Linked DNA regions of Anolis sagrei. Each later gene encodes a partner of the first gene's protein in a complex. Links are inferred from orthologs where the notes say so. Each region holds a gene or a part of one and is shown in the gene's direction. Other genes may lie near its edges. The genes, in order: protein capicua homolog and YWHAQ.

Region 1 (16,235 bases):
GAAAAAGGAAGGAAGGAAGGAATGAAAGGAAGAAGGGAGGGAGAAAGGAATGGAAGTAAGAAGGAAGGAATGGAAGGAAAAAGGGAGGAAAGGAAGGAAGGAAAGGAAGAAGAGAAGGAAGGAAGGATGGAAGGAAGAAAGGAAGGAAGGAGAACAGTGATGGAAAGGCACAGAATACAAGTCATGCGGGAGGGGGCTTCAGCACCAGAAGTAAAGTGGGGAGGGGGGCGGGACAGGACGAAAACAGATCCTGCGAAAGGGCGGCAAGGGTCCAAGGAAGGTGCCTGCAGAGGAGGAGGAGGAGGAAGGGGATTAGGAGGGGATCTGGGTCTCCCAAGGCTTTCCTGCCTCAAATCCCACAGGAGACAGGAAGTCCGCAGGGGGTCCCAGGTGGCCAAGCCCCACAGACGGCGGTCATCTGTCGCCCCTGAGGGAGAAGCGCCCACTCCGCCCTGCATTCCCCCCTTGAGAGAGAATCCCTGGGTCGTGGGTGGCGCCAGGGCCCAAAAGGGGGGTCATGGAGGTGGGGGCCATTTCTTTCGGCCACACTTCTCCTCCTCTGACCAAGAAATTCCTTCGTTCGGACAAGAGGAAGAAGTTTCTTCCTTCCTCTGCCCAGCCGATTATACTCTAATCTAATGCATCTAATCACCTCTCAACAAAGGTTTGCTCCAGGCACTGTCAGGCCATTATATGCTAATCAAGGTGGTCAGTTGAAACCTTCACACCTAGCTCCAGCAGACAAGAGTCCTTTCATAGAATCCTAGAATCCTAGAGTTGGAAGAGACCTCATGGGCCATCCAGTCCAACCCTATTCTGCCAAGAAGCAGGAATATTGCATTCAAAGCACCCCTGACAGATGGCCATCCAGCCCCTGCTTAAAAGCTTCCAAAGAAGGAGCCTCCACCACACTCCCTCCGGGGCAGAGAGTTCCACTGCTGAACGGCTCTCACAGTCAGGAAGTTCTTCCTCGTGTTCAGATGGAATCTCCTCTCTTGTAGTTTGAAGCCATTGTTCCCTTGCGTCCTAGTCTCCAGGGAAGCAGAAAGGAAGCTTGCTCCCTCCTCCTCCTCCCTGTGGCTTCCTCTCACATATTTATACATGGCTATCATGTCTCCTCTCAGCCTTCTCTTCTTCAGGCTAAACATGCCCAGCTCCTTAAGCCGCTCCTCATAGGGCTTGTTCTCCAGATCCTTGACCATTTGAGTCACCCTCCTCTGGACACATTCCAGCTTAGAGTCAACATCTCCCTTCCATTGTGGTGCCCAGGATTAGTGTGTTCCAATTGCACACAGTGTAGTGTGTTCCGTAGGGAGACCAAGGTGCTTGTCTATAAAGCTATTCCCCTCCCAACCCTGCTCTATGCCTGCGAAACGTGGACTGTCTACAGACGTCACACTCAACTCCTGAAACTATTCCATCAGCACTCCAATATGTCACAAAACCAATGTGCTGTTCCAGCAGACACCAGCCATCCCCTCTCTAATGCCAGAAATACAGCTTAATGGTGTCACTTTAGAAAATGTTGACCATTTCTGCTTCCTTGGCAGCCACCTCTCCACCAAAGTCAACATCGATGCCGAAATACAACACCGCCTGAGCTCTGCAAGCGCAGCATTTTCCCGAATGAAGCAGAGAGAGACCAAGGTGCTTGTTTATAGAGCTATTGTCCTCCCAATCCTGCTATACGCATACGAAACGTGGACTGTCTACAGACATCACACGCAACTCCTGGAACGATTCCATCAGCACTGCCTCCGGAAAATCCTGCAAATCTCTTGGGAAGATAGGCAGGGAAACATCAGCGTGCTGGAAGAAGAAGCAAAGACCACCAGCACTGAAGCGATGGTCCTCTGCCATCAACTCCGCTGGAACGGACACGTTGTCCGGATGCCTGACCACCGTCTCCCAAAGCAGTTGCTCTACTCCGAACTCAAGAATGGAAAAGGGAATGTTGGTGGACAGGAAAAGAGATTTAAAGATGGGCTCAAAGCCAACCTTAAGACTGAGAACTGGGAAGCCCTGGCCCTTGAGTGCTCCAGCTGGAGGTCAGCTGTGACCAGCAGTGCTGCAGAATTCGAGGAGGCATGAGTGGAGGGTGAAAGAGAGAAACGTGCCAGGAGGAAGGCGCATCAAGCCAACCCCGACCGGGACCGCCTTCCACCTGGAAACCGATGCCTCCACTGTGGGAGAAGATGCGGGTCGAGAATAGGGCTCCACAGCCACCTACGGACCCACAAGGAAACCCATGACGGAAGACCATCTCACTCGTCCAACGAGGGATCGCCTAAGTAAGTAAAGGTGTGTTCCAATTGTGGGAGTTGAAGTCCAAAACACCTGGGGGAGGGAGAGGGGGAGGAGGGCCCAAGTTGGCCCAGGCCTGCATGATCTTATGCAACTAAATTGGGAAAACCGTTCCCTTCCTGGCTTAAAAGGGTGATTCCCCGTTGAATGGTGCGGCCTTGACTTCGAACGCATTGACTCCAGGAACATTGTTTTTGTGGCTGCCACAAACTACATGGAATGGGTTGAGCCTCGATGGGGAGAGATCTGTGTTGGTGGTGGTGGTGCAGGGAGATGTGGAGGGACGTTTCCTGCACGTTCCCCACGAGGGATTGAATGATGGACCCACTGAGGCAGGGACAGGCAAGCTTTTGAGCTTGCTGTGTCAAAATTTGCCAAAAACCAGAGCTGGTGGAGTTGGTGTGTCAGCTCAGGTCCTCCATCTTTAAAGATTTCAGCAGGGATCCCATCAGGTCCGCTGGCTTTGTTATTTGAGACAACACCATAGGACCCTGGATGGAAGTTGATGTAGATCCATCTTAATAGGACGACTGACCACTGTACTTTTATATATAGTGTTTTTAAAGTTGTTTTTGTAATTGTGATATATGATATTTTAATGAGTGTATACGTTTTTATGGCTGGAAACCGGGCTGAGTCCCTCAATGAGGTTGAGAAGCTCGGTATAGAAAACTGTGAAATAAATAAATAAATAAATAAATAAATAATTCTTTTTGTTGCCTGATGGTATTGCTGACTTCTTCCAACCTAGGCAGTGCTGCAAGCTCATCCCTGGTTTGTTGTTGTGGGATTTAGTGTCTAGGTCCAGGGAAGTCATGCTCCCCATGCTCTATTCCGCTTTGGTTAGACCACTTTACCTGGAATATTGTGTCCAATTCTGGGCACCACAATTCAAGAGAGATATTGACTCTAAGCTGGAAAGTGTCCAGAGGAAGAGGGTGACTAAAATGATCCAGGGTCTGGAGAACAAGCCCTATGAGGAGCGGCTTAAGGAGCTGGGCATGTTTAGCCTGAAGAAGAGAAGGCTGAGAGGGGATATGATGAGAGCCATGTATAAATATGTGAGAGGAAGCCACGGGGAGGAGGGAGCAGATCAGGGGTCTGGAGAACAAGCCCTATGAGGAGCGGCTTAAGGAGCTGGGCATGTTTAGCCTGAAGAAGAGGAGGCTGAGAGGGGATATGACAGCCATGTTTAAATAAGTGAGAGGAAGCCACAGGGAGGAGGAGGGAGCAAGCTTGTTTTCTGGAACAATGGCTTCCAACTACAAGAGAGGAGATTCCACCTGAACACGAGGAAGAACTTCCTGACTGTGAGAGCCGTTCAGCAGTGGAACTCTCTGCCCTGGAGTGTGCTGGAGGCTCCTTCTTTGGAAGCTTTGAAACAGAGGCTGGCTGGCCATCTGTCAGGGGTGCTTTGAATGCAACATTCCTGCTTCTTGGCGGAATGGGGTTGGACTGGATGGCCCAGGAGGTCTCTTCCAACTCTTGGATTCTATGATTCTAGGATTCTATGAACAATGCTCAAATGTGCAGATGTTAAATTTGTAGAGCCTCTTACACATTGAAGGATGGAATTAGATTGGCTCTTATAAGGTGTACTTCTCTGTATGCATGTGGCCGCATGTCATCAAAAATAGCTATGCGTGTCAGTGCTGACACGCGTGTCATAGGTTCACCATCAGGGCACTGAGGGAAGGATGCCATGGATCCCCAAGGACAACAACAACCACCACCACCACGGTGTGGCCGAGTCTCCTTCCTCTCCTTGGTGGGCGGCTGGCGTTGGGTGGGGTGGGGGGGTGTCTCTGGCCAAGGCGCGCCAGGCATGCGGCTAAGCGTCCTGCTTAAGCCCCTCAGAATGGCAACAGCTGAGGGGGAAGCCAAGAGGGCAAAGGTCAGCCCAGAGCCTCTCCCACCCCCACTACTTTTCAAGGAAGGCGAAAATAACTCCACACAGAATCATCCGGAAGGGAGTGGATAATGGGGGGGGGGGGGGAGGGGGGGGCAGGACTTGGGGGTCCCCAAACGCCCGCCCGGCACAGACTCTTAATCCAGGTTGAGCCGCCAAGACAGATGGGCCTGGACCGTGGGGGGAGGGGGGGGGAGGCACCTGCATGCGGTGGAATGGGGGGGGGGGAGGATGAGGGGCAGGGACCCCCCATCAAAGGGAGGGGCTAGTCTGGGTGCCACCCCTTCCCCACCTGTTCCTAGCCTGCCTGGTGGGAATTTCTCCAACCCTGACCCTTGACTCTTGACCCCTGGCTGAGGGGGGGGGGGGGTCCTTCTGCTTTGTTGTTCTCCCTCTTTCACATTTCCCTCCTTTCCACCACTTTTTTTTCGGGGGGGGGGCTTTTTTTGCCCGCCATAACCCTTTGCCCCCCCTTGACCCTTGACTTTTGACCCCTGGCCGGGGGGGGGGGGGGTCCTTCTGCTTTGTTGTTCTCCCTCTTTCACATTTTCCCTCCTTTCCACCACTTTTTTTTGGGGGGGGGGGGGTTCTTTCTTTGCCCTCCATAACCCTTTGCCCCCCCTTGACCCTTGACTCTTGACCCCTGGCGGGGGGGGGTGTGCTTCTGCTTTGTTGTTCTCCCTCTTGCTCCTTTCCACCACTTTTTTGGGGGGGAGGGGGCTTTCTTTGCCCCCTATAACCGTTTGCCCCCCCCCAAAAGGGGGGAGGTTTTGGGGGAGGACCACCTTTCTGGGCCCCGGTTATTTATAAATAGGACACCACATTATAAATAATGCGGCATTATGATTCCCACTCTCCATATATATATAGAGAGAGGGGGGGGGGCATTCTGGCCATGCTCAGAGGCATGCTTGGGCACCCCAGGATCGTCCCCCCTCCAAAAAAAAATCCCTTCCCCTCCCAGCAAACCTTTGATCACTAAGAGATACCCCCCCCCCAATATTGGTGTCACCTTCCTGCTGCCCTTTGACCCCAGTTCACCCCCCCATCACTAGGAGGGAAGGGCCCACAAGCGCCACTGAGGGGCCACTTCCGGAAGTGCCTTTTTCTCGCAGCCCCTTCCAACAGAAATGGGGGGGGGGGTCCCAAAAGAGTCACCCCCTCCCCAAAAAAGGGCACTTCCAGGAAGGAAGAAGAGGGAGGGGCTCAGTTTGCCCCCCCCCCCCCACCGAAGTGCAGGCATAAAAAGAAAGAAAGAAAGAAAGAAAGAAAGAAAGGAGGAGAGAAGAGAGGAATGAAAGAAAAAAAGGAAGGAAGGAAGGAAGGAAGAAAAGATAGAAGGATGGAAAGAATGGAGGAATGAAGGAAGGAAGGGATGAAGGAAAGAAAGAAAGGGTTAGCTGTTGCCTTTTGCTGGAAGATTACTTTGGTTTTCCTGATGTTCAATGACAGGCCGAGCTTCACGTATGCTTGTTTAGAGTGGCTTGTAGGTCTTCTTCTGAATGCGCACAGACTACATTATCATCAGCATATTGGAGTTCCATAACAGCATTGTAAATCTTCTTCTGAATGCATACAGTATGATATCATCAGCATACTGGAGTTCTATAACAATGTTGTAAGTCTTCAGAATGCCCATAGACTATGTTATCATTGGCATATTGGAGTTCTATAACAATGTCGTAAGTCTTCTTCTGAATGCGCATGGACTATGTTATCATCAGCATATTGGAGTTATATAACAATGTAAGTCTTCTGAATGCACACAAACTACATTATCATTGGCATATTGGAGTTCTATAACAGCATTGTAAGTCTTCTTCTGAATGCCTACAGAGTATGTTATCACTGGCATACTGGAGTTCTATAACAATGTTGTAAGTCTTCAGAATGCCCACAGACTATCTTATCATTGACATATTGGAGTTCTATAACAATCTAAGTTTTCTGAATGCACACAGACCATGTTATCATTGACATATTGCAGTTCTATAACAATGTTGTAGGTCTTCTTCTGAATGCCTACAGAGTATGTTATCATTGGCATATTGGAGTTCTATAACAATGTCGTAAGTCTTCTTCTGAATGCGCATGGACTATGTTATCATCAGCATATTGGAGTTATATAACAATGTAAGTCTTCTGAATGCACACAGACTACATTATCATTGGCATATTGGAGTTCTATAACAGCATTGTAAGTCTTCTTCTGAATGCCTACAGAGTATGTTATCACTGGCATATTGGAGTTCTATAACAATGTTGTAAGTCTTCTGAATGCGCACGGACTATGTTATCATCGGCATATTGGAGTTCTATAACAATGTAAGTCTTCTGAATGCACACAGACTACGTTATCACTGGCATATTAGAGTTCTATAACAGCATTGTAAGTCTTCTTCTGAATGCCTACAGAGTATGTTATCACTGGCATACTGGAGTTCTATAACAATGTTGTAAGTCTTCAGAATGCCCACAGACTATCTTATCATTGACATATTGGAGTTCTATAACAATCTAAGTTTTCTGAATGCACACAGACCATGTTATCATTGACATATTGCAGTTCTATAACAATGTTGTAGGTCTTCTTCTGAATGCCTACAGAGTATGTTATCATTGGCATATTGGAGTTCTATAACAATGTCGTAAGTCTTCTTCTGAATGCGCATGGACTATGTTATCATCAGCATATTGGAGTTATATAACAATGTAAGTCTTCTGAATGCACACAGACTACATTATCATTGGCATATTGGAGTTCTATAACAGCATTGTAAGTCTTCTTCTGAATGCCTACAGAGTATGTTATCACTGGCATATTGGAGTTCTATAACAATGTTGTAAGTCTTCTGAATGCGCACGGACTATGTTATCATCGGCATATTGGAGTTCTATAACAATGTAAGTCTTCTGAATGCACACAGACTACGTTATCACTGGCATATTAGAGTTCTATAACAGCATTGTAAGTCTTCTTCTGAATGCCTACAGAGTATGTTATCACTGGCATACTGGAGTTCTATAACAATGTTGTAAGTCTTCAGAATGCCCACAGACTATCTTATCATTGACATATTGGAGTTCTATAACAATCTAAGTTTTCTGAATGCACACAGACCATGTTATCATTGACATATTGCAGTTCTATAACAATGTTGTAGGTCTTCTTCTGAATGCCTACAGAGTATGTTATCATTGGCATATTGGAGTTCTATAACAATGTCGTAAGTCTTCTTCTGAATGCGCATGGACTATGTTATCATCAGCATATTGGAGTTATATAACAATGTAAGTCTTCTGAATGCACACAGACTACATTATCATTGGCATATTGGAGTTCTATAACAGCATTGTAAGTCTTCTTCTGAATGCCTACAGAGTATGTTATCACTGGCATATTGGAGTTCTATAACAATGTTGTAAGTCTTCTGAATGCGCACGGACTATGTTATCATCGGCATATTGGAGTTCTATAACAATGTAAGTCTTCTGAATGCACACAGACTACGTTATCACTGGCATATTAGAGTTCTATAACAGCATTGTAAGTCTTCTTCTGAATGCCTACAGAGTATGTTATCACTGGCATACTGGAGTTCTATAACAATGTTGTATGTCTTCTTCTGAATGTCTACAGACTATGTTATCATTGGCATACTGAAGTTCTATAACAATGTTAAAAGTCTTCTGAATGCGCACAGACCATGTTATCATTGGCATATTGGAGTTCTATAACAATGTTAAAAGTCTTCTGAATGTGCACAGACCATGTTATCATCGGCATATTGCAGTTCTATAACCATGTTGTAGGTCTTCTTCTGAATGCCTACAGAGTATGTTATACTGGCATACTGGAGTTCTATAACAATGTTGTAAGTCTTCAGAATGAGCACAGACTATGTTATCATCGGCATATTGCAGTTCTATAACAATGTTGTAGGTCTTCTTCTGAATGCCTACAGAGCATGTTAACATTGACATATTGGAGTTCTATAACAATAAGTCTTCTGAATGTGCACAGACTATGTTATCATCGGCATATTGGAGTTCTATAACAATGTTGTAGTTCTTCTGAATGAGTACAGACGATATTGTCATCAGCATACTGGAGTTCTATAACAGATGTTGTTATAGTCTGCTGAGGTTGAATAGCTTGCCGTCTGTCCGATAGATGATTTCCACTCCGGTGGGAAGCTTCCCATCAACAAGGTGAAGTATCATAGCGATGAAGATGGAGAATAGAGTTGGGGCAATAACACATCATTCCTGTTTGACACCCGATTCCACCTTAAATGGGTCACTTTGGGAGCCATTGCTATCCAAGACTGTTGCCATCATGTCATCGTGGAGGAGCCGCAGGATGGTCACAAATTTGTTTGGGCACCCAATTTTGTGGAGGATGGTCCAGACAGCGCTGCGATTCACTGTGTCGAATGCCTTGATAAGGTCCCCAGCGGAGGTTAAAAGGGAGATACCTCGATAGTTTCCGCAGTCTGTTCTTTCCCCCTTTTTGAAGAGAGTGATGATGGTGGCGTCCTTGAAGTCGGCTGGGATTTTCTCGGTCACCCACACTTTTTCTATGAGCCAGGGGAGTTGTGGTGCCAGCTCAGGTCCTCCCTCTTTGAAGATTTCAGCAGGGATCCCATCTGGTCCACTGGCTTTGTTATATTTTTGTTGGCTGATGGCATTGCTGACTTCTTCCAAACTAGGCTGTGCTGCAAGCTCATCCCTGGTTCGTTGTTGTGGGATTTAGTGTCCAGATCTAGGGAAGTCCTGCTCCCCATGCTCTATTCCGATTTGGTCAGACCACATCTGGAATATTGTGTCCAATTCTGGGCAGCACCATTGAAGAGAGATATTGACTCTAAGCTGGAATGTGTCCAGAGGAGGGCGACTAAAATTATCAAGGGTCTGGAGAACAAGCCCTATGAGGAGCGGCTTAAGGAGCTGGGCATGTTTAGCCTGAAGAAGAGAAGGCTGAGAGGAGATATGATAGCCATGTATAAATATGTGAGAGGAAGCCACAGGGAGGAGGAGGAGGGAGCAAGCTTCCTTTCTGCTTCCCTGGAGACTAGGACGCAAGGGAACAATGGCTTCAAACTACAAGAGAGGAGATTCCATCTGAACATGAGGAAGAACTTCCTGACTGTGAGAGCCGTTCAGCAGTGGAACTCTCTGCCCCGGAGTGTGGTGGAGGCTCCTTCTTTGGAAGCTTTTAAACACGGGCTGGATGGCCATCTGTCAGGGGTGCTTTGAATGCAATATTCCTGCTTCTTGGCAGAATGGGGTTGGACTGGATGGGCCGCCAGGTCTCTCCCAATTCTAGGATACTATGTTCAGCTGTGGAACTCTCTGCTTCGGAGTCCAGCGGAAGTTCCTTCCTTGGAGGCTTAGAAGCAGAGGCTGGGTGGCCATCTGCCGGGGGTGCTTTGAACGCGACTGTCCTGCTTCTTAGTCCACCAGGTCTCTCCCAATTCTAGGACTCTCTGATTCGACATACTGTTGCGGGGAGTTCCAAAGGCGCCTGTAAATGAAGGCTCCTTCTTTGGAAGCTTTGGGGCTGGATGGCCATCTGTCGGGAGTGCTTTGAATGCGACTGTCCTTCTTCTTGGCAGAATGGGGTTGGACTGGATGATTGCCCATGAGGTCTCTTCCCTCTAGGATTCTATGTTCAGCTGTGGAACTCTCTGCCTCGGAGTCCAGCGGAAGGAAGTTCCTTCCTTGGAGGCTTTGAAGCAGAGGCTGGGTGGCCCATCTGTCGGGGGTGCTTTGAACGCGATTGTCCTGCTTCTTGGTCCTCCAGGTCTCTCCCAATTCTAGGATTCTCTGATTCGACATACTGAGGCGGGGAGTTCCAAAGGCGCCTGTAAACAAAGGTTGACTGACGTTAGGATGAATTGCGGGTGGGCGGGGCTTTCCTTTGAGCTGCACGTGAGGACCTGTTTGCGTGCACACGTGTGTCCGGACACGTGTCCACGCGCCGCCGCCGAGAAGGAGGAGCCCTCTCTCTTTCCCGACTTCCGCGTCTCTGGGCAAGGCGCGCCGGGATTGGCTGCCGGGCTCGGCGGCAGGGGCCAATGCGGGGCCGTGGCGGTGACCTCATCCCTCGGCCGCCCCGGGTTGGGATTGGCCGCCCCTCGCGCCCCACGTGGGGGAAGGAGGGAGGGGGTCCCGGCGCGGGCGCTGATTGGCCGCGGAGGAGGCTTCCGCTGTTGCTGAGGGAGAGCCGAGCAGGCCCAGCGCGGAGAGAGAGAGAGAGAGGCCGGCGGGCCCGGAGCGGTGAGTGGAAGCGCATGCTAATGGCATGCAAATGAGGCCCCCCCCAGAGGGAGGGAGGGAGGGAAGGAGGGAGGGGGCGCCGGGCTGGGAGCCCCCCTCCTCCTCCTCCTCCTCAAGAGTTGGCTCCGCGGGGCCTGACGGGAGCTGTAGTCTTTCCCCGGGGACATCCTGCAGAGAGGGCCGCCCCGAGGACTACAAGTCCCGTGAAGCCTTGCGCGGAGGCCAATGATGGAAAGCATTGTGGGAGCTGTAGTCTCTCAGGATTCACCTACAGACTCTTTCGGCTGCTGCAAGGAGACAAACATCCGGCACCTCCCTCGCCTGGGAGAGCGACTGAGGGGAAATGGGGGCGGGGCCTCGCTCGCGGTGCACCCCGGGAGTTGTAGTCCGGACTTCCGGGTTCCCTTTTGCCCCTCCTCCCTCGCACAATAACTCCTAGGCGCCGGGAGTTGGAAGGAGGGAGGGCCGGAGGGGACTCAAAGGACTACAACTCCCATCCTGCCCCTCCGGCGCCAAGTAAACAAGCCCAAGGCCTTTAACTCCGCCCCTTGGTCCTCATTAGGGAATGTCTCTGGTTCCCGCCCATTTCGTCTGCGATTGGCTACTGTAAGTGCTCCTCTCCCTTGAGGGGCGGGGCTTCCCTGTCCCTCTGAGGCACCGATAGGCGGCGCTTGGTGCCCGTCTGACGGGGGGAGAAGGGGCGGGGCAATGCGCCATCCCTCGCGCACGGTGATTGGCCGCGCGGCCTGCCCGTCACGGAGTTGTGGCCTCGGATTGGGCGGCGCCTCCAGCTGGTCCGGATTCATTCACCATTTTGTCTGTTGGAGTAAAAAGCGGCCGAGAGGGGGCTCCGGCTGGCAGAGAGGGGAGGGGGCGCCGGAGGAGGAGGAGGAGGAAGAGCGCCCCCCACCTGAGGAGGAAGGAAGGAAGGAAGTAGAGGTCACGCTTCCCCAAGAGGACCCGGAAGTGGGGCTGGAGGAGGCAAGAGGTCAGGGGTCGCAGGAAATGGGGGGTGGGGAGGGAGGGATCAAGGGTCACGGGGAAGGGGAGGGGGCGGAAGGAGGGAAAGGGGGGGTGGCAAGGCGGAAGTTGGAATCTCCAAGTTTACCTCCCCCTGAATAAACCCGGAAGTGGAGACCCTCCAGAGAAAGGGGCCCAGAAGCCGGGGGGGGGGGCTTTAAGGGAACAAGGGCGCCCCTGAGCATAAGCAGAGGGCCGTGACGTCATCGCCCTCTCTCCAATGGGGAGGGAGAGGAGGGGGCAGGGTTTCCCTTTTGGGGGGTTCCCTGGGGTCAAGGGGAAGTGGCCTTTCTGGGAGGGAGGGGTATTTGGATGGACAGCAAAGCCATGTCCCGCCCTACTTCCTGTTTACTTCCTGTTTACTTCCTCTGCCCGAAGCGCCTCCCCCCTCCCTGCCCTTCCTGGGGGGCAACAAGGCCCTGCTTGGAGGCAGGCGGAGTCCCCTCCCACACAGCCAAATACTACAATAATATTATAATGAGTTACAATATAATACTAATACTAATCTATCTATCTATTCTATTCCATATATATATACAATATATATATATATTGTCGAAGGCTTTCATGGCTGGAATCACTCAGTTCTTGTGGGTTTTTTCGGGCTATATGGCCATGTTCCAGAGGCATTTCTCCTGACGTTTCGCCTGCATCTATGGCAGGCATCCTCAGAGGGAGTGAGGTCTGTTGGAAGTAGGAAAATTGGGTTTATATATCTGCACATCTTAACACCTCTCAACAAAAGATTTTCCCAGGCTCAGCCAGGCCTTCAAATGCTAATGAAGGTGGTCAGTTGAAACATTCACCCCTAGCTTCAGCAGACAAGAGTTCTTTGTCCCACCCTGGTCATTCCACAGATATATAAACCCATTGTCCTAATTCCAACAGACCTCACTCCCTCTTAGGATGCCTGCCATAGATGCAGAAAAAACCCACAAGAACTGAGTATATGTATATAAATGCTCTTTGCATAATGAGTACCTTAAAAACAAAAGAACCAATGAACGAAATCACACCAAATTTGGCAAGAAAACATCTCACAATACAAGGAGTGACCGTCACTCAAAAAAATTTATGATTTTCTCATTTGGGAGTTGTAGTTGCTGGGATTTATCGTTCACCTACAATCAAAGAGCATTCTGAAATCCATCAGTGATGGAATTGAACCAAACTTGGCACACCGAACTTCCATGACCAACAGAAAATACTGGAAGGGTTTGGTGGGCATTGACCTTGAATTTGGGAGTTGTAGTTCACCAACATCCAGAGAGTACTGTGGACTCAAACAATGATGGATCTGGACCAAACTTGGCACAAATACTCTATATGCCCAAATGTGAACACTGATGGAGCTTGGGGAAAATAGAGCTTGACATTTGGGAATTGTTGTAGTTGCTGGGATTTATAGTTCACCTACAATCAAAGAGCATTCTGAAACCAACAAATTATAGAAGTGGACCAAATTTTCACACAGAAACCCCACGACCAACAGAAAATACTGGAAGGGTTTGGTAGGCAATGACCTTGAGTTTGGGAGTTGTAGTTCACCTACATCAAGAGAGCACTGTGGACTCAAACAATGATGGATCTGGACCAAATTTGGCATGAATATTCCATATGCCCAAATATGCTCACAGATGGAGTTTGGGGGAAATAGACCTTGACATTTGGGAGTTGTAGTCACTGGAATTCACAGTTCACCTACAATCAAAGAGCATTCTGAACTCCACGAACGACAGAATCGGGGCAAACTTCCCATACAAAACCCCCATGACCATCAGAAAATACTTAAGGCCACCCAATCCAACTCTCTTCATCAGGGCAAGAAAACATAATCAAAGCCCTCCTGACAGAGAGCCATCCAGTTATAGATATAGATAGATAGATATGATTCAGACACAGAGATTTGAAAGAAACCCTTAAAGAAGGACAATGATTTGTTGCATGTTCCAGAGTAGGCAAACCAGTCACTCTCCACATCAACACTTACACATCAACCCATAAAGAAATTACATAGATTAGAAACCAACGCTTGCTCATTATTTTATTTTCCAGATCAACAGACTGGGCCACAGCAACGCCTGGCAGGGGACAGCTAGTAAAATATAAGAAGTATACTATTGTATCACATGTAATATTACTAACAATATTACAGTATAGTGCTATTTTATTTATTTATCGTGTCAGGAGCGAACCAAAACAGTTGTATTGTATTACAAGCAAACAAACAAACAAAACACAAACTTTGCAGACATGGCATTCTATTAAATGTCATTTGACCAGTCGCTGGACACTTGGAGTGCCTTGGGTGTTGCACTATACCACTACAGTATAGTGGTATAGTATTATTATTATTATTATTATTAACTTTATTTGTACCCCGCTAACATCTCCCAAAGGACTTGGTGTGGCTTACAAAGGCCAAGGCCCTCAATAAAACAGCATAACAAATACAACAATAAAACTCATAAAGCAAAACATACATTTCCATATTGTACTAACATTACAATATAGTAATATAGTACATTAGTATTATGTATTACTATATTGGGTTTTTTGTGTGTCAGGAGCGACTTGAGAAACTGCAAGTCGCTCCTGTTGTGAGAGAATTGGCCGTCTGCAAGGACGTTGCCCAGGGGACGCCCAGATGTTTGATGTTTTATCATCCTTGTGGGAGGCTTCTCTCATGTCCCCACATGAGGAGCTGGAGCTGATAGAGGGAGCTCATCTGCCTCTCCCCAGATTCGAACCTGCGACCTATCGGTCTTCAGTCCTGCCGGCACAGGAGGGGCTTAACCCACTGTTTCTCAAGTCACTCCTAACACGACAAAAAAAATAGTAATACATAATACTAATATTGTACTGTGCTAAATATTGTATACACATATAATAGTGATAATAAAATAATGTCATACAATATAATACTAATAACAATACAATATAAAATTATATATTTTATATTACTAATAATATTACAGTATGCTGGTGTAGTACAATATGGAAATGTATGTTACTAATATTGCACTATGCTAATAATATAATATATTGTATTTACTCTGAGTCCCCTTTGGGGTGAGAAGGGCGGCATAGAAATGTCATCAATCAATAAATAATAAATCAATCAATCACCCAGAATGTCAAGGGAGATCATCCACAATATCTGCTTTGAATAATAATAATAATAATAATAATAATAATAATAATAACTATTTGTACTCCCCAAGGGACTCGGTGCGGCTTACATGAGGCCGAGCCCAAATACAACAATACAAGCAATAATAACAACAATACAAGCAATTAAAATAAAAAAAACATGGACAATAAGATATGCGACATTATCAATAAGACAACACCTTTGAACTGGGTTATCTGAGTCCACACTGCCAGATAATCCAGTTCAAGGTGGGTTGTATAAAGCTGTGCATTAGGGGCCTACACCGTAGTCTACACTGCTGTATAATCCACTTCAAAGCGGATTATAATCTGGATCGTATATGGCAGTGTAGAAGGAGCCGGTGGTGCAGCAGGTTAAACCACTGAGCTGCTGAACTTGCATACCAAAAGGCCACAGGTTCGAATGCAGGGAGCAGGGTGAGCTCCCGCTGTCAGCCCTGGCTTCTGCCAGTCTAGCAATTCAAAAACATGCAAATGTGAGTAGATCAATAGGTACCACTCTAGCGGGAAGGTAATGGCTCTCCGTGCTGGATGGCCATCTGTCAGGGGTGATTTGAATGCAACATTCCTGCTTCTTGGCAGGGGGTTGGACTGGATGGCCCATGAGGTCTCTTCCAACTCTTTGATTCTATGATTCTATGCAGTCATGCTGGCCACATGACCTTGGAGGTGTCTATGGACAAAGCCGGCTCTTTGGCTTAGAAATGGAGATGAACACCAGAGTCCCAGAGTTGGACACAACATGGCTTAATGCCAGGGAAAAACCTTTACCTTTAGGGGCCGGAGGCACACAGAACAGGAACGGGAAAATACTTTTAATTTCCAGATCCTTATTTGCACGTTCAGACCCAGAAATGGTCCACAGAGCTTCCCCAAAGTGTATTGTGTCCCCGCTCCCCATGATTCGGCTTATGATCCATACTAATAATAATAATAACTATTATTATTATTATTATTATTATTATTATTACTATTATTATTATTTCATCTCTTACCCAGCTCTCCTTGTGGCTGGAGGCAGGTTGCAGCATGATTAAAACACATGAACACTGCAAAAAAAACCCTATAAAGATACATAAAAACATGTTAAAATACAGAGACACAAGTCATGAGTTGAAAATTCGGGAGTCCTCCTACCAGAAGAGAGAAGCCTGAGATTCCAACAGCTGTTCCCACTCTCCACACTCTTCTCCAGCATAGTCATGAATTCTGCATGTCCTGAGTGGATAATAGTACCATCTATGCAAAGTGTGGTGCTGAGAGCCATTTATAAGCTTGGGTTCTCCAAACTAAGTTCCAAACTAAGAGCAGCAACTGAACGTTTTACTATTTGCTTATGAGTTTTATTGTGATATTCGTATGTTGTTGTTTGTTGCGGCCTTGGCCTTTGTAAGCTGCATCGAGTCCTTCCGGAGATTTTGCGGGGTATAAATAAAGTTGTTAATAATAATAATAATAATAATGTGGCCACACAGCCTGAAAAAGTTATGACACCCCAGAACCTGTTTTGAATCTGGTTCCCAAACTAATCCCAATCCATTGAACA
Region 2 (15,403 bases), on another chromosome or scaffold:
CTTTCATGACCACTTTTGTTTTTGGACCATGATGCCATTTGGCTCCTTTCAATTCTCAGTGTGTCCAGTGCACCTGGATATGATTCACTACAGGAACAGGAAGTGTGGGCAAATGTGATGTAATTTTTCCACGGCGAGAAGATTAGCATCCTCATCTATGGAGCCGATTATAAGAACAATCATTGCATTGTGAAAAGGAGTGAGGATAACAACAAGCTTTGGAATAATAATGAGAGAAAGAGGAAAAGGCTTGGGGTTAGGGTTTGTGGACCTAATTTATTTTGATGCTAATCAGCCATTACATCAGCCAACGTCAAGATGAGTGATCAATATTTAACATAATATTTGTTCTGTGTCTGTTCTGCGTTAGCATCCATGCTTCTCCTAAGCTCCAAAAAACATGTTTGCTGAACAATGAGAATCTCTTCTCTTGCATGTATGACATTTGTTTCATATTAATCAGAAGGCCAACTATAGGGTACATTAAATTAACCTGGGTTGTTGTAGGTTTTTTGGGCTATATGGCCATGTTCTAGAAGAATTATCTCCTGACGTTTCACCAGCATCTGTGGCAAGCATCCTAAGGGGTTGTGAGGTCTGTTGGAAACTAGGAAAATCAGGTTTATATATCTGTGGAAGGTCCAGGATGGGAGAAAGAACTCTTGTCTTTTTGAGGAAGGTGTGAATGTTTCAATTGGCCACTTTGATTAGCATTTGATGACCTGACAGTTTTTTGGTGTGGCTTGTTACTGTCGGAGGGGATTCTTTCTTGAAGGGTGATTAGGTGTTCCTGATTATTTCTTCTCTGGACATCCCCTGTGTTTGAGATTTGTTCTTTATTTACTTTCCTAATTTTAGAGTTTTTTTAATACCGGTAGCCGCGAAAAGTGAAAATCCACGAAGTAGGGGCGCTATGTATATATCACATTCCAAGGGTAAGACAGAAGTGAGGAGAGATTTAAAGGCACCACACACCTTTTTTTTTTGTTTAGATATCTCTGCTTTGCTTTGCAATATCTCTTGATTGGTTGCCTCTCTCCCAAGGGGGAGGGTGAAACCCCCTTCCACATTCCATCATGCCAGGAAAAACAGGATTAGAGCGCCGCTCTGGGCAACAGCAACCATTCATAAACTGGGATGCAAAAACCCGTGAAACGGGTCCACAAAAAGCGAACTGCAAAGTAGTGAGGGAACACTGTGTGTGTGTGTGTGTATACACACACACACACATACACAGAGCAGAGTTTCAGAAGTGTTCTTTTTAGTTGGAGGTTGGACGCTACAGACAATGCTGTTGCCTGTTTTTGGTCAAAAGATATTTAGCCACTTGTGCTCCTATTTTTAACATTTTTGTACTAATTTATGTAATGCTTTTGATATGAAATAATGATGACGACGACGATGATGATGATAATAATAATAATAATAATAAAAACACGAGAGGACATACAATTGAAAACTATTTTTCCACATTTCCAGAGGCCCTGCACCCTTAATCCCAGAAAATGTAGAGGATGCATTAATTGATATTAAAAACAACCATTAATGTGCCCAATTCACCCTCCACATTCTCTGGGAGCAGAGGCACAGGATCCCTGGAAATGTGGGGAAACCATGAGCAAAAAACATGAGAGAACAGCTGTCTTGGAATCTAGTCCTGCATGACCTTATGGACAACATCCAACAAAGCTGACTATTGACTCACACTGGAAAACCTAGAGAGTCCTGCAGAGTTGTTCTCTCTAGGAATCTCTAGGTCGTCCAGCATGACTTTATGATCAATGTCTGGTGGGAAATGAGTGGAATAACTAGAGTTTCCCAGCGAGAATATTTTAATCAAGTCTGTAAATAATCAACTCCATAAAAACCAAGCCCACAAATCTGGGGGTCAACTGCCGTTAAAAGTCCTTTCCTTAGTAACAGGGTTGTTGCCAAAATCATTGTGAGATTTGTTTTGTTTTCTGTTTTTAAAAAAGACCTTGCTTTCTGCCTGAAGGACAAGGAAACAATCAGCTTGGCCTTGCCTACTAAGGAGGTCAAAGATTTGGAAGCAGCCAACAGACATTGAAAAAACCATTTCCCCATCTCTTCTATCTGTACTCCTGAGGATGAAGACCTCAAAGCTCAAGCATGGTTATGTGGGAGAATACAGTCCTTCAAATAGCCCAGATCCAAGTCAAATAGGACGTCACAGGTCATAACCAGCATTAGGCAGAACACTTGAGGTGAACCTGGCTAGTTGCCTTGCAAAATCTTGAACTGACAGACTTTATTCATCCCATCCAGAGTGAACTATCATCTGGCAGAAGCTCCCATCTTAACCGTAACTGCCTTGAAGTAAGCCTAACTTAACACAAGGGGAACCTATTTCCAAGTAGCTATGGTTACCATCGGACCATTTGTACATTATGACTCAGAACATAATTTAAGCAACATAGAAAGAAAAAAAATGTTTTCCAGTTGCTTTGGGTGGATGCGGTCTGAGTTCATTTTACTAAATGCCATTGTTACAGGACATTTTCCATATGGGATAAAGGGACAGGGTTATGATTTCTGTTCTAGCCACCATCTGAATTAAACCTCAGTTCCACATTGTTGGCTGAATTTTGAAATGTCTTGGTTTTTCTCTCTCCACTCCACTTTCACCTTTTGGCCTCAGCTTTCTTCAGTTTCTGCAGGCTGAGGCCCCTTCCACACAGCTGCATAAAATCCTACATTTTCTGCTTTCAAATGGAATACATGGCATGACTCAGATAACCCAGTTCAAAGCAGATATAGTGGGATTTTCTGCCTTGATATTCTGGGTTGTTTGGAAGGGTCCTTAGAGAGGAGGGGAGAGTCTTGCCTTTTCCAGTACATTCAGGCACAAGGAACCTCAAGTGCATCTACAATGTGGAATTAATGCAGTTGGACACCACTTTAACTGCTATGGCTGCATGCTATGGAACCATGGGAGTTTAAGGCTATATTGCCCTATATCTATTCTCTGTTTTGAACTGGATTATATGAGTCTCCACTATCAGATAATCAGGGATAAGAAGATAATTTGGGATTTTTTTTTCATGTCAGGAGTGACTTGAGAAACTGCAAGTAGCTTCTGGTGTGAGAGATTTTAACTATTTTAATATGTGATATTATAGATGTATTTAACTATGTTGTGCTCCATCTTGAGTAGAAAGCAGAGGCAGGTAATAAATAAAATATTATTTATTAAATGGAAACAATTAAAAATAGAACAGCTTTCAAATAAAAGCTACTTCTTCAAAAACATCCAGTCTGCAAAGGCCTTTTTATGAAGATGCCTATTATTATTATTATTATTATTATTATTATTATTTTATATTATACTTATTATTTTACTTGTCTCACCTAAAAATAGGGGGTACTGATATAAGCAATGCAGGTGCTTCTCGCCATCCCAAGAAAGGCACCCCAAATCTTAGAAGCCACCACTGAAAACACATTGTCTTTGTATCCCTACCAAAGAAGATTGCAGGAACAGTTCGGTTTAAACTTCAATGCAGGAACTGGATGCTTAGATCTCAGAGAGATGCTTTGGACTATGGACTGTTGCTTCTAAGGAAAATGCCCTGTGATACCTACAAAGATAAACTACTACAAAATCCTATTGTAACTGGATTCATAAGCAAAGTGCCTGTATGCTGTATACATGAAGTTTTGTGAGTAAATCAACTGTTACTTTTAAAGAAGACTTTATTTTGTCTCTTGAGAGCATGATTTAAAGGCAAATATATTTTAAGGGAGAGTAGATCTTTTTGGGCAACTAAAAAGGAATACTTCTGAAACTCTGCTAAATATATGTTTTTGTTCATTGACATGTCTTTGTCCTTAGCAGTTCAAAGACATACCTAGGTACATCAGTTCAACAGCTGAGAGACCTAGTTGCCTTGCATGAATGCTGGTGAAAGCAATTTTTTTCCCCAAAAGGTTGTGATTTCTAACAAGGTCATGCCTTTCCATTGATGAGTGGATTTCCAAAAAGGTTATGAATCCCATTTCCCAAATGGTTTTGGAGAGTCACATTTTCCAAAAAGGGCGATTGTGCCGGAGGTGATAATGTAGGTAACCTGGCCCCTCAAACTATGGGTAATGTTTATTTTTTATTTATTGTTGATTTGATGTGTTATTATTTGTTCACTTTCTTTTTATGTATCTAACTGCACTTCTTCATGTTATGACCTGCCCTGAGTCCCTCGGGGAGATGGGCCTGGGTACAAATAAAGATTAATATTACTATGTTTTTTTTAAAAAAAATAATGTTATTGAAAATTTTTACATAGTAGGTTGATATTACTATGTTAAGGATCAGTGTAGATGTGTATGTTGTGTTGTTGGACTCAGACTACCACCAGTCCTGGACATCTTCCACTAATGGGTTCCATTTAAAGAATAAAACAAAATGACATCTTCCCTATGCTCTTTATGCAAATCGCATATTTTTCTAGACCTACTCATTCCACCAAGACATTGATATAATGCAACTCAAAATTCTCAAAGTGTCACAAATCCTTAGTTAAACTTACCACAACAACTCCAAGTGATGGGGTATCCTACCTGCTCTGTGACTTTACACAACATACTCATACATCTATATAAATAAAAATGTAATGTTAGTTTGTGGGATTAACATAACTCAAAAACCACTGGACGAATTGACACCAAATTTAGAAACAATAACACCTATCAGGCCAACAAGTGACCATCACCCATAAAAAAAATTGAAAAACACAGCAAAAAATGCTTTAAAAGCATTTTTTTAAAAAAAAAAATACAATGCATGCACAAAACCACATATACAAAAAATATATACACTCATATACACATACAAAATACATATACACAGACTGGGCCACAGCAACGTGTGGCATGGGATGGCTAGTACTGTATAAGAAAGCAACAAGTAGGTAGACCCAATATCCTTTCTAACAAAATAGGGTAGGTTTTTTCTATTTAAGGTAATGATTCTCAGAAGATGATCAATAACAATCCTGCTAATTTTGAAAACACTGATCAGGTTATGTTAAAGATTCCCAAGCTCTCATTTGATTTTTGTTTTGCTATTATGTATAAGAGACACCGTTTTATTAGGCTGTAGGGGCAATGGCTCACCAGAACATGGCATATAATGGGACTTGAGCATCCACGGATTGGAGTATCCACAAAAGATCCTGGAACCAAACCATAGCAGATTTCAAGGGTTCAATATATGCCTACCGAGCCCACACTTTGCACATCAGAGAAAGTGAGGCTGAACCCCTGGAAGTTCATGCCAAATATTATTATGATACTTTTCACCTGCGCTCACAACTTCTGAGGATGCCTGTCAAGAGATGTGGGCAAAACGTCAGGAGAGAATGCTTCTGGAACACAGCCATACAGCCTGGAAAAAATCACAGCAACTTAATTGTTATTATTAAAATGATTTTAAAATATTATTTAATTTAAATATGTTATATTTAAGGTGACATTTCTTTTTTGTTGTTGATGCAACAGATTCAGCAGCCATTACTGTTGCTGTGGACAAGATACTTGGAGGGATGAGAGTGACCGCAGGGGGATTGGCAGAGTGGGTGAAGGTGGTGGTTAATGCCTCCCTTTGGGAAAATAACATTCCAGTGAGCTCAAAACAAGCTGTGATAAAAACTGCTGTTGAAAAAACCATCACTGGACCCCACTCAATTCGTCAACTATCGACCTGTTTCCAATCTACCCTTCTTGGGCAAAGTCCTGGAATGTATGGTGGCCTCACAACTCAAGGTATTCTTGGAAGACATGGATTATCTGGACCCAGCACAGTCTGGTTTTAGGCCGGGACATGGTACCAAGACAGCCTTGGTTGCTTTAGTGGATAATCTACGCCAGGTGCTAGACAGGGGGAGTGTGTCCCTGTTGGTTCTGCTGGACCTCTCAGCGGCCTTCAATACCATTGATCACAGTATCCTTCTGGGATGCCTCACAGGAATGGGCCTTGGAAGCACTGTTTTGCAGTGACTCCAGTCCTTTCTGGAGGGTCGCATCCAGAAGGTGTTGTTGCGGGACACCTGTTCAACTCCACAACCATTGTCTTGTGGGGTTCTGCAGGGCTCAATACTGCCCCCATGTTATTTAACATCTACATGAAGCCACTAGGGGAGATCATCTGGAGTTTTGGGGTGCGGTGTCACCTGTATGCAGATGACATCCAACTGGACTGGATGAGGGCAAACAAATAGAAATTGAATTCAGACAAGACAGAGGTACTCCTGGTCAGTCGTAAGGCTGAACAGGGCATAGGGTTACAGCCTGTGTTAGACGGGGTTACACTCCCCCTGAAGGTGCAGGCTTGCAGCTTGGGTGTGATCCTGGATTCATAGTTGAGCCTGGAACCTCAGGTCTGGGTGGTGACCAGGAGAGCATTTGCACAATTAAAACTTGTGTGCCAGCTGTGCCCGTACCTTGAGAAGTCTGATTTGGCAATAGTAGTCCATGTTCTGGTTACATCCCATATGGACTACTGCAACGTGCTCTACGTGGGGTTGCCTTTGAAGACTGTCTGGAAGCTAGAAATGGTCCAGCGTGCGGCAGCCAGGTTACTAAGAGGAGCGGCGCTCAGGGAGCATACAACTCCACAGTGCGCCAGCTCCACTGGCTGCCAGTGTGCTACCAGGCACAATTAAAAGTGCTGGCTTTAGCCTATAAAGCCCTAAACAGTTCTGGCCCAACTTACCTATCCGAACATGTCTCCCCTTATGAACCTTCCAGGAATTTAAGATCATCTGGGGAGGCCCTGCTCTTGATTCCACCTGCCTCACAGGTGGGCTTGGTGGGGATGAGGGACAGGGCCTTCTCAGTGGTGCCCCCTCAGCTGTGGAACTCCCTTTCTGGGGATATTAGATCGGCCCTCTCCCTCCTGACCTTTAGGAAAAATCTGGCTCTTCGACCAAGCTTTTGGAACCTCATTGTAACCAGATATACTGTGAACGGATATGGAACGACTTGACGATGCAAATGGACATGGATTTAAACCTGGAAGTCATTTTTTATAGTTTTAAATTGTTTTAATATGAATTTTATTATGTGATTTAATGTATTTACGTGTCTTCGGCATCTAATTGTGGCCAGTCTGTATGCCGCCCTCAGTCGCCTTTGGGCTAAAAAGGGCAGGATAAAAGTGTGATAAATAAATCCATACATAAATATATAACGAAGGGCCGCGTTTGCAAGGCAAGGCAAGGGGCGAAGCATCAGAACTCATTAGCTTTGCAAAAGCCTCTTCCTGGCGCAGAGGAAAGGGTATATTGATAGGGATTAGGAGAGGAGCTGCCGCTATTTCTGGATCCCCGCGAGGCCATGGCTGGTCATGCCTTGTAACGTTGCCCGCTAAGCCCCTGCGAAAGCCACCCTCCTTGGCTTTGAAGGCGGGATGCCTGCTCCAATTCCGGCATTTCCTCCGCATGGAGGACTCAAGGTCTTTATCTGCGGCTCGCATTCCTCCCCTGAAGACTTTGACCTTCCTTCCTGTGCTGCTTGGTGGAGGCAGCAGCAGCAACTCAGCATGCATGGCAAACCCTCCTCCTCCTCCTCCTCTCCCGTTTGCTTTTCCCTCCCGCTTTGCAAGGAGCAGCACGAGACGGTGCCTGACTCCCTGCCCTCGCTTCCGCACCGTCTCGTGCCTCGCCCTGGCTCCTAGGGAAGAGCCGCTTTTGCGCATGTGCGGGGGAGAAAAAAAAAAAGAACAAGGGAGAGGAGAGGAGGGGGGTTGTAGCGGCGTCGCTATGGCGACAGTGACGTCATCCCACCCTGGATCTAATTGGAGGAAACCCCGTGGCCCCAGCTGCCGCAAGCACCGGCCAACCGAGCTTGGGCCCTGCTGGTTAGCTTAGTCCTCTCCGCGGCCGCGCGCATGGCTGCCATTGGCCGCCAGGGACCTCGAAGGCGGGGCCCGGGCAGGGATCGCCGGTGCCGATTGGCCGAGCCGCGAGAGCGCGGGCCCTTGCCGCGGAGTGGGTTCGCGCTTTGTGCCAACGCCCTGTAGCAGCGACGCTGTTCCTCGCGCCTGCGACGGGAGCGGCTTTCTGTCTCTCTCTCTCTCTCTCTCTTCCTCCCCCGCCCTCCTCCTTCCTCTCCTTCCTTCCGTCCTTCCTTGCTTCCTTCCTTCCTTCCGAGCGCAGTCGACTTGAGCAGAAGGCGCGCGCCGGCACGGCCTCGCGCCCCCCTGAGACTCAGCAGCGGCAGCAGCAGCAGCGGCGGACTCAGGTGAGGGAAAGGGGTCGAGGAAGAAAAAAAAGAGAGAGAGGGCGCGAGGGCACGTCCTCGCGCCGCGGGTGGCCTCGCCTCTCTTCGCCTCTCCTCGCGGTGGCGTCCATTTTGTGGAGGACGGAAGAGCCGCGGAGGGAAGAGAGGCAGCTAGAAAGAGAGAGACACACACACACACACACAGAGAAAGAGAGGCGGCACCTTCACCACCAGCGCCGCCATTTCGCACCGGCCTTTTCTGGAAGGCAAGGGAGGCGCCTCTCGGTCGAGTGGGCCTTCCCCTGCCCTGCCCGCTCACCTTCTTTTCCTGCCGCCCTTCTGAAGGGAGGTGGGGGAGCCCTTCTTCCTTTGTACCTCCTCATCCCCTTCCTGATCCCCTTGTGTTTCACCGTTTTGCTTTCACTCCTCTCTCCCCTCACTCCCTTTTGCTGTCCTCTCTTTCCGCCTCCTTCCCCTTTTTTCTTCCCTCCCCTCCCCCATTTTCCTCCTTCCCTCCTTCCCCTCCCTTCTGCGGACAAAGATTTCACACCTTGGGCGCGCCCTCCTCTTTCTCCTCGCTCCCTCCTTCTTCTCCCTTCCACACAGCCCTCTTTCCCAGAATATCAAGTCAGGAAATCCCACAATACTTGCTTCGAACCGGGGTATCTTGGGGGCCCTTCCACACAACCCTCTATCCCAGAATATCAAGGCAGGAAATACCTGCTTTGTACAGGGTTATCTGAGGGCCCTTCCACACAGCCCTCTTTTCCAGAATATCAAGGCAGGAAATCCCACAATACCTGCTTTGAACCGGGGTATCTTGGGGGCCTTTCCATACAACCCTCTATTCCAGAATATCAAGGCAGGAAATACCTGCTTTGAACCAGGGTATCTTGGGGGCCCTTCCACACAACCTGCTATCCCAGAATATCAAGGCAGGAAATCCCACAATACTTGCTTTGAACCGGGGTATCTGGGGGCCCTTCCACACAACTCTCTATCCCAGAATATCTCACATTATTTGCTTTGAATTTGGATATATAGAATTGTGGACTCAGATAACCAAGGGCCCTTCCACATAGCTGAATAAAATCTCGCATTTCTGCTTTGAACTGGAATATATAGAAGTGTGGGCTCAGGGCCCTTCCACATTACTATATAACCCAGTTCAAAGCAGATAATGTGAGATTATATACAGATGTGTGGAAGGGGCCTTAGATAACTCAGCGCCCTTCCACACAGCCCTATATCCCAAAATATCTAGTTAGAAAATCCCTCATCTGCGTGTGGACTCAGATTTATATATTTTTTGTTCGTGTCAGAAGCGACCTGAGAAAGTGCAAGTCTCTTCTGGTGTGAGAGAATAAGCTGACTGCAAGGACGTTGCCCAGGGGACGCCCAGATGATTTTGATGTTTTATCATCCTGTGGACTCAGATCACTCAGTTCAAAGATATTCTGGGATATAGGGCTGTATGGAAGGCCCATTACCTTTGAAAGGAGTCTTACCCACACAGTGATGTGAAAGTCACTCTATGTTGGAATCCTGATTTTTTTACTTATTCTATTTTGCCAGGCATTGACAACACCTGAATAGTTCAGAATATCTGCCAGCCTCATATGACCAACCAGGGAAGGGCAGGGTCAGACAGTGCATGGACACAAAAGCCCTTTTTGATTTGGGGCCCTTCCACACAACCATATAACCCAGAATATCAAGGCAGGAAATCCCACAATATCTGCTTTCAGGTGGGTTATCTGAGGGCCCTTCCACTCAGCCCTATATCCCAGAATATCTGCTGGGTTTGAGTTCCTACTCAGATAATGTGCAATTTTCTGCCTTGATATTCTGGGACATAGGGCTGTGTGGAAGGGCCCTAAATTATCTGAATCCACACTGCCGTATATTCCAGTTCAAAGCAGATTTTCTGCCATGATATTCTGGGATATAGGACTGTGTGGAAGAGCCATCAGATAACCCAGTTCAAAGCAGATATTGTTAGATTTTCTGCCTTGATATTCTGGGCTATATGACTCGGTGTGGAAAGGCTCCCACTCCTGGCCTTTCTTCTTGGCCCCTCTTTTGGCTTTATTCCTGTTGCTCATTTCCTTGTTTTGCCTGCCAGGCTTTCCCACCTCAAGGTGCATTTATACTGCAGAGTGAATGCATCATGGCACCCCTTTGTAACTGCCATGGATCAGTGCCGTGAAATCCGAGGTCTATAGATCTGTGAAGCACCTGCCCTCTTAGGCACAGATGGCTAAACACCCACCCTTCTACACAGCTATGTAACCCAGAATATTAAAGCAGATAATCCACGATATCTGCTTTGAACTGGGACCCCTTCCTCACAGCGAATCCCACATTTTCTGCTTTGAACTGGAATATATGGCAGTGTGGACTCAGATAGCCCAGTTCAAAGCCGATATTGTGGATTTTCTGCTTAGATATTCTGGGTTATATGGCTGTGTGGAAGGACCCTGGGTTATCTGGGTCCATACTGCCATATATTCCAGTTCAAAACAGGAAATGTGGGTTTTTATTCAGTTCAGTGGGCCCTTCCACACAGCCCTATATCCTAGAATATCAAGGGAGGACATCCCACATTATCTGAGTGTGGACTCAGATAACCCAGTTCAAAGCAGATATTTTGGGATTTTCTGCCTTGATGTTCTGGGTTATTGGACTGTGGAAGGGGCCCCAGGGCCCTTCCACAGAGCTATATAACACAGAGTATCAAGACAAATAATGCATAATAACTGCTTTGAACCAGGTTATCTGAGTCCACACTGCCATATATTCCAGTTCAAAGCAAATAATGTGGGATTTTATTCAGCTGTGTGGAAAGGGCCCCAGTAAAAGGGCAACTCCCAGGAGTCCACAGGATTGAACCATGCCAAGCAAAGGGGGGTGTCGACTGCATTAATTCAGCAGAATAGACGCAGCCTTTGCCTCTCCCGCACCCGGCTTCCCTATTCTAGCCCTGCATGCCTCTGACGCCCTTCTGCACATGTCTTGCATTCTTATTAAAGGCTGCCCTTGATTTGAAGGCTTGATTCTTATTTCTGCAAATAGCACTCCTCCCCATGACTTGATCTCTTTGCTTCTGATTTACAAAAGAAGGGGCTGAATAGCTTTCAGATGCTGTTGAACTGCAGCTCCCATCCTTCATAGCTATGGATGTTGGGTAGAAATGATTGGAACCACAGTTCAACAGCAACACCCAGAATATCCAATCCTGAAGTAGGGACCTCTGTCCCGATCACTATTTCTAAGCACTGTAGGTACACCTGCACTGCACAATTTATGCAGTTCCATACTTGGTTAAGGGTCATGGCCCAAATATATGGGATCATGGGAGTTGTGGTTTTGCAAGGTCTTAAGCCTTTTGTGCCCAAGATGTCTTGTGCCCCACCAAACCACAATTCCCAGGATTCTACAGCACTGAGCCACTGTCCTTAAATTAATGTCAAACCGCATCAGTTCTACAGTGTAGATGCGGCCTTAATCGTAGCAACACAGTTTGAAGCTGCATTGTATGTGTCTACACCATACATGCACAACCCGTGACGCTCAGAAGTGTTTTGGACTTCAGCATTCTGACCATTGGACTAAACTAGGGCTCCTGGGAGTTGGATTCCCAAACATCTGGAGACCACAGATTGTGCTGGTCTGGTCTACATTGACCATATAGTGCAGATTCAAACTGTATTATGTGACAGTGCAGATCCAGCCGGATTGCTATCTTAGGCTGCATCTGTCATATAATCCAGTTCAAAGCAGATAATCTGGATTTTATATGGCAGTGTAGATGGGGCCTTAGGTGACATCCTCAGGGGAGGAGGATCATTTGACCTTTTCTAAAGCTATGTTTGTTCTGTTCTTGCATCTACATTGGCAGCACTTCACTGTTGCTCTCTTTCTCATTGGCCTGACTCCCCACATCCATAGTAGCTCCTCTAGTTGCTTTGAGCAATTGCTTACTTGGAATGAGCACAGATTTCAGAACGTCTCCTTGTGCTTGCAGGTTTTCTGGTGCCTTCTCTTGACTGTGTGAAAGGCCTCTCTCTCCTCCCCAAGCCAGTTGTCTCGCTGCTTATACTGCTGCTGGCCAACATGGAGAAGACCGAGATGATCCAGAAGGCCAAGCTGGCTGAACAGGCGGAGCGCTATGATGACATGGCTACCTGCATGAAGGCAGTGACAGAACAGGGCGCTGAATTGTCCAATGAAGAACGCAACCTGCTTTCTGTGGCATACAAGAATGTTGTAGGGGGGCGGCGCTCTGCTTGGCGGGTGATCTCTAGCATTGAGCAGAAAACCGATGGCAATGACAAGAAGATGCAGCTTGTCAAGGACTACCGAGAGAAAGTGGAATCTGAGCTTAAGTCCATCTGTACTACGGTTCTGGTAGGTTGGCTTCATCTTACATATTATTAACCTGCTATCCATATGATAGAGAATTAAATGGAAGAATCCCCCATTGCTATTAATTAATTGTTACATTGTGTCTTGTACCTTATCCAAAAAGACAGACTGATAGAAAATACAGAATTTCGTGGTGCTGTGTTGTTGGAAATTTTAAATCTGCCAATAGAAGCTTAGTTCTAATTCTCAGAACAAACTTCTAATGACTTTTCACCCATTAGCTTATGTTCCTCTTGCTTGTGTATTAATTTACTGTATTATCGTTTGGACTGTTTGGAGAACATCTACTGGAAATAATGGAGAACAGGCAAGTGAATAAGCATGATGTCAGGAGGTGATTGTGAAAAAACCCCAAATATTGCCTACTGTAACAACCCAAAATATCAAGAAATAGGCATGCTGCTATGAGAAAACTCACAGCATTTTATATTTTGAGTATATTTTCTTTTTATTTCATTAAACATGTTTCTGTGATGTTTAAAGAGAGTATGACTTTGGCTATTACTGCTTCTTTATTATTCCACATCTGGGGTCCCTCGCCATTCTTGTATCATGTACTTTATAGATTATATGGAGTACTGATTTGACATTATTTCCACACCATTTTACAATTGTCTATTTTAATTGCCAAGTAAACTTTTTTTATTTGCAGGATACATCATATTACTGCCAGAAGAGTTTAAGAATGTATTCTTGAAGTATTGCTTCAAGAATGGGTTTACTCTAAAAATGTGGATATGAAGGCATACCCTTGATACACATATATGCACATATATACAGTAAACACATGTTGAATTCTTTCAACAGAGTGATACCTAATAAACACAAGAAAATTAATTAAGATATTTTCTAAATATATATCTACTCCCAGAAACTTAAAGGCCTTAGGCCTTCAAAAATTATTTTGATATTTTTTTTATTTTTAAACGCATATACTTGGGCTTAATATATTAACAATCCATCTTGCACCCATATTTGCCCAGAAGTACAAAGATAGCATGACAAGTTGTTACTTGATTATTGTAATGCAGGCTATTATACACCACACATTTTGCAGCAATTGAAAAAAAATACACCTCTGCTAAGTTTTGGCTTATATCAGTGGTTCTCTCTCAACATGTGGGTCCCCATATATTTTGGCCCTCAACTCCCAGAAATCCTAACAGCTGGTAAACTGGCTGGGATTTCTGGAAGTTGTAGGCCAAAACACCTGGGAAGCTACAGGATGAGAACCACTTGTTTAAATGCTTTGTGTTCTTTTAGGCTTAAAAGACATGATTACAGTTTCCAACCGCATCAGTACATAGTCCCCGTCCCCCCCAGATTTATATTTGCAGAACAGATATTAAAGTAGTAAAAATTAAGGTTTTTTTTAAAAGAACAAACTGAAAAGACAAGATTTCATTCAAATAAAAAATGTTTGATTTTATTAAGTGCTGATACTAGAAATTATTGAGAACTTGGGAAGGCTCTTGCTTTTTTTGGTGCATAATATAACAGTAATAAGGATACCAGGTGAGTTTTGAGTGCCCCAAGGGTGAAGTGCCATTACCAGAAAACCTACCTCTCCAATTGCATCCCAATGCGTTTCAGATAATTACATCAAAGAGGGAGTGGTCTCAGATGAGCATTGAATTGGCAGGTGAATTGAATCAAGAGTTCGACATAAGATTTTGTTGAAAACCTTGTTTGTTGGACTTTAACACTGGGATCAGCAACCTGGGCCTTCTGAAAAGGTTGTTGGACTGTAGTCCCTCAGCATTGGTTGATAAAAGTTACAGTGTAACCACATCTTGAGGACCCATTCCTTTGAATTAAGTTTGGGCACTTTGTGAGCTGGGAAGTTCTTTAGCGTAGTCAGATGATTATTTGCCTGAATGTTGTTAACAGACTAGATGTTGTGTTCTGGATTAGCTGCAGTTTCCAATCTATTCTTAAAGGCTAACACAAGTCAATGCGCTTCCATAATCCTATCCCAAGTTACTAAATCACAGATAGTCCGTGAACAAGTTATTGCATCTTCTTGCTTCTTTCCCTTCATTGACCTTCTTCACAAACTGTTGCAAATTAAACTATTTATGAAATTCTGTTTCTTGCTTACTTAAATGGTCTGCTGATGGAAAGCTTCCCATTCACTGAAATATAATGGGTATGCCCCTGGATCTTGACTAGTATGTACAGGTTACATTATTGAGCAATCCACACTGTGAAATTTAGGGAGCTCACCTTATGAAATTCATTAAATTGACAACCAGTTTGAATGCACGCATGCACACAGATTATATGATTAAGGGAGGTTAGTGCCTTCTATTTTACCTAAAATAACATCAGTTTTTAAGTTCAAAAATTTTTAACCTGTGCTCTCTTAAACCTTTGGTGGGAAATTCTGACCTGTGTAGAATTTTGTTAGCTCCAAGAGAGACCTCTTTTTCATACCAAAAGGAAGTAAATAGAACTCATTTCTGGTTTTTGAGGAAGCCTCCACCTGAATTTAAAATACCTTCTGTTGGGGGACATGATATAATTGCTTTTCATGTCCCCTAAAGGGCGTGAGGGGCATTTTTCAGTTTAAAATATGTGTAGGGAGTGGTAGGATACTGTATACAAGCTGCACTTTGACTGCCCATGAATCATAGTGAAATGTTCACTCTAGGAATCTATCAGTCCTCCAGTGCAATTTTGTCGTTAGCATCTGGTGGGTGTTGACCAAGAAAAATGACCTAGAGATGTGTTCTTTTAA

Evidence for each region.
Region 2: the proteins of protein capicua homolog (region 1) and YWHAQ are in contact, whole or in part, in a crystal structure (PDB 6KZG), measured with the Homo sapiens proteins. The link is inferred for Anolis sagrei from reciprocal best matches to the Homo sapiens genes CIC and YWHAQ. Residues at the interface, in NP_001291744.1 of Homo sapiens: Arg1207, Ser1208, Met1209, Ser1210, Glu1211, Thr1212, Gly1213, Thr1214; in NP_006817.1 of Homo sapiens: Lys49, Arg56, Lys120, Arg127, Tyr128, Gly169, Leu172, Asn173, Val176, Tyr179, Glu180, Leu216, Ile217, Leu220, Asp223, Asn224, Leu227, Trp228.

The regions. Positions count from the first base shown.
Region 1 is NC_090035.1:84,259,000-84,275,234, forward strand, and holds the start of protein capicua homolog, read left to right. Parts: upstream 1-10,373; 5' UTR 10,374-10,495; intron 10,496-11,270; exon of another isoform or gene 11,271-11,483; intron 11,484-16,235. UniProt on the Homo sapiens protein: Transcriptional repressor which plays a role in development of the central nervous system (CNS). In concert with ATXN1 and ATXN1L, involved in brain development.
Region 2 is NC_090021.1:130,704,219-130,719,621, forward strand, and holds the start of YWHAQ (14-3-3 protein theta), read left to right. Parts: upstream 1-7,995; 5' UTR 7,996-8,256; intron 8,257-12,262; 5' UTR 12,263-12,351; coding exon 12,352-12,645; intron 12,646-15,403. UniProt on the Homo sapiens protein: Adapter protein implicated in the regulation of a large spectrum of both general and specialized signaling pathways. Binds to a large number of partners, usually by recognition of a phosphoserine or phosphothreonine motif.